Caenorhabditis elegans: one gene and its partner. The protein of the gene in region 2 purifies or fractionates together with the protein of the main gene of each other region. This does not show direct contact. Each region holds a gene or a part of one and is shown on either strand. Other genes may lie near its edges.

Evidence for each region. Proteins that work in one complex are often made in the same cells at the same time.
Region 1: the proteins of lab-1 (region 2) and lab-2 purify together in Caenorhabditis elegans (affinity purification with mass spectrometry, with the first as the bait; one large-scale study listed by BioGRID). This does not show direct contact.

The regions. Positions count from the first base shown.
Region 1 is NC_003281.10:7,324,337-7,331,749, forward strand, and holds lab-2 (Long Arms of the Bivalent protein), read right to left. Parts: upstream 5,272-7,413; coding exon 5,141-5,271; intron 5,077-5,140; coding exon 4,807-5,076; intron 4,760-4,806; coding exon 4,603-4,759; intron 966-4,602; coding exon 783-965; 3' UTR 604-782; downstream 1-603. Other genes in the region: F56C9.10 (BCAS3 WD40 domain-containing protein), read right to left, coding at 5,889-6,215, 6,333-6,463, 6,518-7,413.
Region 2 is NC_003279.8:9,656,193-9,659,598, forward strand, and holds lab-1 (Long arms of the bivalent protein 1), read right to left. Parts: upstream 1,832-3,406; 5' UTR 1,613-1,831; coding exon 1,545-1,612; intron 1,499-1,544; coding exon 1,399-1,498; intron 1,353-1,398; coding exon 1,230-1,352; intron 1,179-1,229; coding exon 984-1,178; 3' UTR 820-983; downstream 1-819. Other genes in the region: asfl-1 (putative histone chaperone asf-1-like protein), read left to right, coding at 2,082-2,193, 2,237-2,529, 3,157-3,327, 3,377-3,406; C03D6.9 (Aa_trans domain-containing protein), read right to left, coding at 2,609-2,836. UniProt on the Caenorhabditis elegans protein: Involved in sister chromatid cohesion during mitosis and meiosis.

The sequences.
Region 1 (7,413 bases), on a different chromosome or scaffold from region 2:
TGTTGAAAATTGAAATGGAAATGAGTGGTCACAAGAAAAATGTACTGCCAAAATTTAGCAATCGATCCTTAAACGACGTTTTTCGGCATGCTTCTTTTTGCATTTAGCATTCGAAATGTTCATCAAGCTGTAAAATTACGGTACTTGGTCTCGAAACGAGAAATGTTTCCCAACTGCGACAATGCTTGCGCCTTTAATGAGTCACTGTAGTTTCAAAGTTTCGTTTCATCGTTCTTTTTAAAGGCGCACTTTTTTATTTAACAAAAACGTGACGTGTCAAGATCCAGTACCGTAGTTTTTTGGTAAAATGTCGCGTCTGGGTATTGCAGGCTCAAAAACAACATTCCTTTTAGATAATACATTCTGACTCACTTTTTTGACCTGTTCCAAACTCGGGGTTAAGAAAGTTTTCTCACAATGAAATAGCATGCACCATGTACTAAATATGAAAAAAAGCGGGAAATGGTATACGGTTGAGTCATAGCTCCAACTTTCCCCCACTTCTCTTCTTTTGAAGCGAGCAATGAAAGAAAACCTGAGTCATCACGAATGTTTGTGATGAGAAGAAAAAACGGGAAATTTAGAAAAACTTCCAAGGTAGGCAAAAATATGAAAATTTATTGGGACTGGAACTGAATTTTACAACAAATGATGAGACCGTAAATCAATAGAGTTAGAGATCATGCAATAAAACGATTTTTCTTGAAAAATTGGAAGAACTTTTCCTAAATACAAAATTTCACAGTGGAAAATACCATAATTATTATCGAGTAGAAAATAGCTCAATTTGGAAGAATCGGAGAAAGAAGTTGATTCATAGCGGGCATTGGTGAATTCACAAGGCGTGGAGATTTCTCTGGCGGAGACGCATTTGACACTGTTTCATCAGAAATTCCACGTTTCTGTGTGTTCGGTTCCATGAGGATAAGACGATTGATGGTATTACGTGCTTGCTCGGACAAGGACTGAAAATTTAATTTTAATAATGAAATTGTTGATTTGAGAGTAAAAACATTCCTATGTTAAATTGTGTTGCGGACTTTTCTTAATTTTTCTCCGGTTTCTCTCAGAAACTGGAGAAAATTTTTTGAAAAATAAAAATGATGAAAACTTATCAAAAATCGAAGAAAACCCCGTAACAACAAGGAGTTAGAAACTACAGTACTGCTTAAAGGCGCACTGCCCTTAATTCAAAAAAGATTGGTCGCTTCGAGACCGGGACCAATACCCGGAAAATTGGGGAAAGTTTGAAAACATAAATTTATAAATTACCTCAATAGCCTTTTCATGGGTAGTGCCTCAAAGCGGCGAAAAGGTGGAAACATTTCTCTCCCCCAAGCTCGCTTGTGCCTGGAGTTGGTCACCAGGTAGGAGAGAAGTAGGCTAAACGACCCAAACTGCCATACGTCCTGATCGGTAGCAGCGTCCAATGCTCCCGTTCTTGACGGCCTCCCCCAGGTCTTGGCGACGTCCGTGCTCCGGCAATCTGGCTTGGCCTAGTAAGTCAGCCCAGTAGGACACCAAAAATTACTAAAAACTCAAAAACCAAAGAAAAAACCGATGGATCTACAACCCGGCAATCAAGTTCACTAGGGCCACGGTCTTCGCCCTTGAGGACTGCCGGGGGCCAACTACGAAAGACCACCAGATCGGAATTAAAGAAGAGCGAATTCCACCTTGGCACATGGAACACCCAATCTCTGCTCGGTCCTAGACTCGCATCAGGGGTTGAATACCTCAAAAATTCCACATGACACGTCGTCAATCTCCAAGAGACGCGCTTCTTCTCCATGCCTTCCATCGATCAACCTGAATACCAACTGCTCTAAAAACCAACAACAAAGACTTGGGACTGGGCTTTTTCGTAAAGAAATGCCATGAACTAGAAGTCATCAACGTCTCGTGGATTGGCGGAGGCATTGCTTCTCTTGAACTGGAATTCAGAAAAGTCAAGATCATGGTTCTCAATGTCTATGCTCCAGTTTGCAAAAGTCGGTCCGAAAACGACGCAAAGCGCTTCTTCGAGAGACTCCGGGCTGAATACTTCCAACTCAGGAAATCTTTCAAAGGACCAATCGTTCTCGGAGGAGACTTCAACGCCGCCACCTCATGCTCTACCAACGATGAACTGGCTCCCTGGATCTGCGGGAACGTCTTCGGAAATTCCAACAACCACGGAGACTTCTTCTTCAATTTCCTTGCATCCACTCGTCTCTTCCAGCTGAACTCAAGATTCCCTAAAAGACTCGCGAAAAGGTGGACATTTGCAGGAAAGAAGGCTGTTGGGAGGACGGAAATCGACTTCTTCATCTCATCCAGGATCGATCTCGTGAAGGATGTCAGCACATTCTCCAATCTCCACAATCTCAGTGATCACCGTCTTATCCGTTCGAGATGGGCTATTTCAGTAAAATCCGAACGCGACCACGCCTTCAAGTCAAGGAGACTGCCATCCACTGGTAAGGAGAGAGACTGTACTCTCTACGAAGACGCCATCAAAGATCTGAGTAATCACGCAACCTTCGGTTCGTACGACTCCTTCGTCAAGACTCTCCGACAAGGATTGGTTCCGCTTCCCGCCCATAAACCGCAAAAATTCAGCCAAAGGACTAACATGATTCTGCAAGAAAGGAGATCAGTCCTTGAATCCTCCGCTCCAGATACTGCCAAGCTCCGTAAACTGTCTCAAGAAGCAAGGAAATCGATAACGGAATATCTCACTCAAAAGTACGACTCGATTCTTGAAGCTTGCCGGAAGAAAATATCTTCAAAAATCTTGAAGAAATCCATCCCTGCCGAAATCCCCTTGCAATATCTCGAAAGGCCTGACGGATCTCTCACGGCCAACCGCATCGAAATCCGAAAAATCGTCGAATCTCACTTCAAGGCACTATACGAGGCTCCCACGAGCTCTCCACGTCAACCACAAATCCTAATCCTCCGAGTCTTGATCCCATCCCAGCCATTCTCAAGAGCGAAGTACGTCTGGAGATCAGAAAACTCAAGACCAAATCTGCTCCAGGTCTCGATAATGTGGATGCGGCGATGCTCAAAAATGGAGGCGACACTGTAGTGGACTCAGTAACTGCTCTGTTCAACAACATCCTCCAACACAACAAGGTCCCTGATCTTTGGAAAATATCGGATGTCAAGCTGATCCCGAAAAAGGCTAAAGCCACTAAGATCAAAGACTTCCGACCAATCTCGCTCCTCCCAATCCTGAGCAAAATGTTCTCGAGCATTCTGACCAGAAGGCTGACACCAACCTTGGAGAGCTACCTGGACGAAAGTCAAAACGGCTTTAGGAAAGGGAGATGCTGTGCTGACAACATTCAAAGCCTCACCATGCTCATCGAAAAGTGCAACGAATTCCAGCTCCCACTCCTTCTTCTTTTCATCGACTACCAGACGGCTTTCGACAAAATCGGACACTCGGCTGTGGTTTCCAGCCTCGAGAAAGCAGGAGCCGATCCCGCCATGCGCAAGATGATTCAGGAAATGATGGATGGAGGACAAGCCGAGATCACAGTGCACGATAAGAAGCTCAAAGTCAACCTCTGCACCGGGGTTCGTCAAGGAGACTCAGCTTCCCCAGCTCTTTTCAGTGCTGCTCTCCAAGCTATTCTGACGGATTGCGACAACGAGTTCGCGGGAGTTGGCATCAATGTGGAAGGTAGACACATAAGAAGACTGGAATTTGCGGATGATGTAGTCCTGATATGCTCCACACCGGGAGAAGTTCAAGAACGACTGGAAATTTTGGACCGAATAAGCTCAAATTACGGACTCAAGATCAATCAGTCAAAGACTGTTCTTCTGAAGAACAAGTTTTGCCGGAGCCAAGACGTCCTTTTCAACGGATCCCCCATCATTCCCGTGCCAGGTTGTCGCTATCTGGGGCGCTGGATCGACATATCTGGCTCAATTGACGAAGAAATCTCGAGGCGAATAAGAGCTGGTTGGGGTGCTCTGGTTGGAATCAAAGAAGTCTTGAGAATCATGCCAAACAAGGAAAGAATAATCCTCTTCAAGCAAAATGTGCTACCAGCTCTCCTGTATGCTAGTGAAACTTGGACTTGTAATGCTGGATCCACGCTGAGACTCAAAAGAACTGTCTCCGGTCTCATCGACGCTGCAGAAATTCGAGGCTGGAACTTCAACTTGGATCGTTACCTCCTTGCAAAACAATCAAGATTTACAGGACACATTCTACGGAGAGATCCAAACCGATGGACAAAAATCTGCACGGAATGGGACCCGAGCCACAACAAAAATTGGAAACGGGCCGTTGGAGGACAGAAGAAAAGATGGGCAAAGGACATCGACGAAGAATACGCAAAATTCCACCATAATTCCGCCATGTCGGGACAAGTCGTCGTTGGGAGAAGAAGACTAGGAATGCTCACACCGAAGGTCCCATGGCTGTCCATCGCACGCACCGACCGTGAAAAATGGAAAGAGTTTGTCCGCAGTTGCCTCGCAACTTGAACCCAACGGACATCAAAGTATCAAAGTAAGTATCAAAAAAGATTGGTCGCTTCGAGACCGGGACCAATACCCGGAAAATTGGGGAAAGTTTGAAAACATAAATTTATAAATTACCTCAATAGCCTTATCAAATACTTTTCTATAATTCCGAGCGAGTTGTTCAATATTAATAGTACTTTCTTTCTTGTCGTCAAAGTACAAAACAATCATGTTTCTGTTGCAAGTCAATCGAAATCCGTCTGATGATGGATATGGATGTTCCGACATAATTCTGAAATAATACACAGAAATTAAATTTTTTTTCCGCGCTGTGTTTACCTTTTTGCTTCACGCAACGTCTTTTGAATAATTTCAGCATTGAATCCAATGTATTGCTTCAATTTAAGCCATTTCTTATGATCCATTTCCGAACTTTTTTTGTTCATTCGATGAATTTTCTTTGTTTTTCCGTGTCGTTGTTCAAACATTTCGGCAGAACTATTCGAATCAACTTCAAAGCATACATAGTATCTCTGATCTACTTCAGAATCATCGTCGGGCATATATCCAAATTTTTGAACGACAATTTTAAGATTTGGAAGGTTGAATCTGAATTATCTTATACACTGTTTTTTTCCAAATGAAAAAACAAGATAAGAAATAAATGTTTTACCCAATATCTCTGAGAACATCCACAACGGTATTGATTACTTGCTCTTCTGAAGCCCGTTTCAGCGTCTCTCCTTCGATTTTCAGATTATCTAACATATAATCTTTCCATGTAGTTGAGGGATGTGGTGGCATCAGAAAAAATTATTTGTCATTAATTTTTGGAATTAGGAAATAATTAAAATATAAAAACTAGAATAGTAGAACACTAGAAATTCACGTGAGCTCGTATAAAAAATTATTTTAATTTCTACATTTTCATTGATAGACCAAAAGTTTGATGATAATTTGTTAGAAAAATGATAAGGTGAAATGGATAAGGACGATAAAAGTCTAGGGGAATCTAGTTCAGTGAAACTGAATTGGTAATTTCTTAATGAAACATGAAATATTCTAGATAAAGTTCCAAAAATTATACAAATAATGGGAAAATACTCAGAAAAGGAAATTTTACACATATTTCAAGAAAAGTGAGGTTAAAATTACAGCGAAATTTGAATTTTAAAAAAGTAGGACCGTAATATTTTTTTGTGGATTTTCACATGTTTTCAGTGGGAAGTTTTTGAGAAGTTTGAATGATTGAAAATTGAATTAAAAGAAACCTGATTAATAAATGGGGAAAAGGCAATTACGGGGAGCTGAAAGATGGGAAGAAGTGAGAAATTATACCAACCAGTGGTCAAAGCATAGGAAAAAACTTAAAGGAGATAAAATATAAAATTACATACAAATTATACAGAAATAGATACAAATCAAATATCATCCATGTCAAAAGTTCCAAAATCGTCAGAATCCTTCGATCGTTCTCGTCCATTCTGAACTTTTTTGTCCTTTTGAGATGATTTTGTGGAAGATGTTGGTAGAGGGGCAGACGCTGGTGGTGTCTTCTTCTTTTTCAAAGATTTGCCGCCAGTGGCTCCAGTGGAAGACGATGATCCAGAACCGTTTCGAGCAAATGGAGTTGACGATTCGGTGTCGAAAAATTCTTCAATAAGATCATCATTTTTTGGAGACTTCTTTTTCGTGCTGTCGTCATCACTTGAAATATCACGCATAGCATCAGCAATTGAGGCAATGTACTGAAATATTGTAGGTAATTGTTTAGTTATTAATTTTGGTTTATAAAAATGTTCCTTTTTACTTAATTCTGAATTTGTTTGTTAATTTTCTAAACTATTTTTCGATCTAAAACCTACATCTCCATTTGTGGCACTACTATATCCACCAATTACTGGTTGATCAGATCCTTGATCGATGCTGTACGAGTTGGCAGATGTGTAACTACCGCATTCAATTCTTGTTGCATCAGCGGGAATAGTTTTCATGGCTGCAAATATAAGGTTGTTTTGATAAAATTCACCCACTAAATCTTCCAACTCACTTATATTCACTGCCTCAGATCCAACAAGGACTGGAATCGACTTGAATGAAGCATTGGATCCTTTATTACCAGGAGACATCAGACTCGGTTGATCATCTTCTCGATATTCAAACAACTCGAACTGTGGTCCTTGCCAAATCCAACGGTGTGGTGGTAGATACGTTCGTGTTTCCACGTGAGGTGTCCAAACATCCTCGTCGCCAATCCTCTTTGCTGGTACAGTCTCTACTGTAGCAAAAGCCATTAGTGGAGAAGCAGAAGGCATTGGGGCATGCATATCTGCATTGTTCTTGGTCCTCTGAAGAATCCAACCACCGACAGGAGCAACACTTATTTGAGGAGAAGCTTCCATGTTAGTTTCACCCTCTTTTCGGAGAGATTTGATATCATGTTGTGTAACAATGACTCCTTGAGCTGGATCAACTTTTGCAATGACTAGAGACATTGACATCAGCATTTTGGTAGTTTTCGCCGTTTTTGTGCTAGTTGTCGAGTTATAACTCTTCATCCTGAACATCACTGACATTCTAGAAACTTCCAAGCGTCGCCTTGCAGCTACTGCAGGTGAAGACGAAGCTTGAGCAGCTGGATAGGAGAAACTTGTCATGTCAGCAGCCCATGCACTTAAATCTTCTTTCGTGTATCGAGAGTCCTTGATTTTCTCAGTAGCGACAAGAAGTAGTGGTGGTGGGAATGGTCCGACTCTGGAGTTCCCATTGGTCTTGGCCAGGGTTGGAGAGTTTACGGCGATTGGATGTTCTTTTGTATAGGAGCAAGAATCAGCCATTGCTCTGTGTTTGCTGGGTCCGATTGATGCAGTAACATCTGCTGCATCGGTTAATCCAGCAGACCTATGAAATCTTGATTCTTTGTTCACAAAAGTATCTCCATGTGTT
Region 2 (3,406 bases):
TGGAAATTGAACCTTGCTGAAAACAAAACCAATGTTATCCACTTTGGAAAGCGGAATCCAAAAAATGAATATTATGCAAACGGAATGAAAGTCACCAAAAAGGACTCAGTGAAAGACCTTGGAATCTTCGTCGACGACAAGCTGAACTTCCAGAAGCACATAAACATCATTTCGAACTTAGCCCTTCTCAAATGCCGGCAGTTACTTCGATCCTTCCGCTCAACAAATGCCAGCCTTTACTTCAAATTGTACAATATCTATGTGCAGCCAATATTAAACTACGGATGTGAAATCTACAACCCGATCTCTAAAAATATGATTAAACAACTGGAGTTCCCACTGAAGTTTTTCTCGAGAAAAGTCTTCCAACGCTGCAATCTATCATACTCATCATATGAAAACCGTCTAGCTCAGATGAACCAAAAGTCAGTTCAACACCTGCGGATTCTTCAAATATTGAGGACCTATCACAACATCCTGTCTGGTGAATACCACTTTCCGAATGCCGCATCAACTGTGAGGAAGGCTCGCTCGCCCAGATATCCGTACATGATGTGCCCTTGTGGATCAATCAACGAAAGCTTCCTACTAGTCAATCTTCACCTATGGAACCGTATGTCCAAGTTACTTCCGGGGACAATGAGCCGTCAAATGTTTGCATCACGATTAAATTCTATCCCGTTTAATTATTTTTCCCACACAACTTGATCCCCTTAACTACTTTTGGTTTACAGGATCATTCAAATTATTCAAGTCTGTTTCTCCCGGTGATTATTCTATACTTTCTGTTTTGTTACGACGATTTGAATAAATATATATATATATATATATTCAATGCTTCGAGAGAATAAATGGGAATCTGAACGAGAAACTAAGATTTCTTATATCACATTAGTATATCACAATATTTAAAACTACATTATTTCTTGAAAAAATTATTCACAGCGTTTTTGAGTTTGAAGTTTTTCGATTAATGGTTAATTTCATGATTGACCAGAACACATCGTTTTATCAGAATCCTCAAAATCCTCATCGAAGTCGGAATCCTCGGATGTATCGGAATCCGAATCATATGGATCAAATGTTTCCTCTTTCTGCATTTTTTCATAATTTTCGTCCAATTCATTCACAGAACTCCCCCAATTTGCTTCATTATTACTGATCGAAGACACAGATTCCTGGAAAAATTCCAGACTTGACATATATTCTAAACAAGTTTTGTCAAATACCTGAGGTTGGTCTTCCTTGAAATCTTCGAACATCGTTCCGGTGGATTCTGCCAACTCATCGGGCACCCAGATCACTTTCTTGCACTCGTCCGTTTCACAATTCTCCATAGTTTCAACAGTAACCTATTAAATGTTAGCTTTGTAGGAAATATAAAATAAAATGAATCACCTGATACACATTGTTCTTTGCATTTCCTTTCAGCACCCACGAGATGTCTTGTCCGTCGTCTTTGCCAATTCCTGTTGCATAACGCTTGAACTCAAACAAGCTAAAAATTACCACTTTTTGAAATATTGGAACTTCTGAATGCTTACCTAAGCCGTTTATGGATTTTCAAGATCCACAATGGGCGAGGACGATCATTTTTCTTATGGCTCACCATTGTTGAATAAAGTCGAGGATCGAGTGAAACGGGAAATTGAGAAAGACAAAATGAAAAATAAATTTTCGCGCATCTTGGAGAGGTCAAAAATTCTAATTTTCGTCCTGACTTGCTCGTTTTAATAATTTCTATAATTTGAAAACAATTAATTTTTTACTAATTCAATGTATTATTTTTCTTTAGTTTTGCCTTTTAAAGCCGAGAAAATAAAGTCAACGTTTTTGCGAATAAAAAACAAAAAAAAAACAGGAATTTGTTTCTCAATGGGTTTCACCACGATTAGCCTTCGTCTGTGCAAAAAAACTACGGTAGTTGGAAAAAGTTTTTCGACATTTTATTTTACTGGATCCAGCTGGAGTTTTCAACCACTTTTTACGGGATTTTTGATTTGTTTCTCGTTTTTAAAAACTATCGTTTGAACAGTTTATGAATCTGCTTTCTAATTTCTAATTTTGAGCTTTTTATTCAGATGGCTTCACGTGTTAACATCGTTCAAGTCCAAATTCTCGATAATCCAGCGATGTTTGTCGACAAGTTCAAAATGGAGATCACTTTTGAAGTTTTTGAGCACTTACCACATGGTATGTATATTATTTACACTGCATAAAAATTAAGAATAATCAGATCTCGAATGGGAATTGGTGTACGTTGGATCTGGAACCTCCCGAGACTTCGACCAAGTTCTCGATTCCGCGCTCGTTGGCCCGATTCCTGAAGGACGTCACAAGTTTGTCTTTGATGCAGAACACCCGGATATCTCAAAGATTCCAGTCGAGGATATTGTTGGTGTCAGTGTGCTTCTCCTTCGTTGCAAGTACAACGATCAGGAGTTCATCAATATGGGATGGTTTGTGGCAAATGAGTACACCGACGAAGAGCTCAAAGAGAATCCGCCTGCAAAGCCGCTCATCGAAAAGGTTCTGTTCTTTTCAGGAAAAAAACACTTTATTTCAAAAGTCATTCACACAAAATTATTTTTGATAAATCAAGCACCAGTTATTGTCTAATGACAGTCCATTCCTGATCGTCAGAACGGTTTTCGTCGAGTCCAATAAAGCCCTCCACCTTACTTCCAACGAAGACGATTGCTCCGGCAATTATAAAACTTGCATAAACAATTCCTCCGATAGCTTTGTCGAAAATGTATGTAGCGCCTCTGTAGTTGCTATTTTTGGTCGCTACACTAGCATGAGTTGAATTATTTTGCGCTGCAGTAGCTTTCATTTTCACAATCTGAAGGAAATAAATAAATATTATTAAACGAGCAATGAAACTAATGAAATAATTAAAAATAAAGAACGAAAAATAGTTGAGAGTGAGACAATGACAATGAGAGAACTGAATACGTTGTGCACGCTACCTGTCGAGCAGATGGACATCATCGATCGGGCTCACGCACACAGATGTACTGTATGGGATGACGTAATAAACCATCTGTTGTGGAAAGAGGGAAAAAGTGAAATGCTCTAAATTAATCTCAAAGTTCCTTCAGTTAAAAAATGTAGATAATTCAGTTTTGACCTTGAATTTTCAAAAATTTTCAGCTTTCCCGTAAAATCGAAACCGAAGATCTTCGCGTCACCACATTCCCAATTCGGTGGACTGATGAGGATCCAGTCGCCGAGCCGGTTGATGAAGAGGCAAACAAAGTATTCGATGAGGATGATCTTATGCCATTGCATGATGATGGGCAGGATGATGACGAGGAGGAAGAGGTGGGTAGAATCTAGCATTATCTGAATATAATAATTTACTGTTATTCAGGACGATGATGAGACGGGTCCCAATACTGAA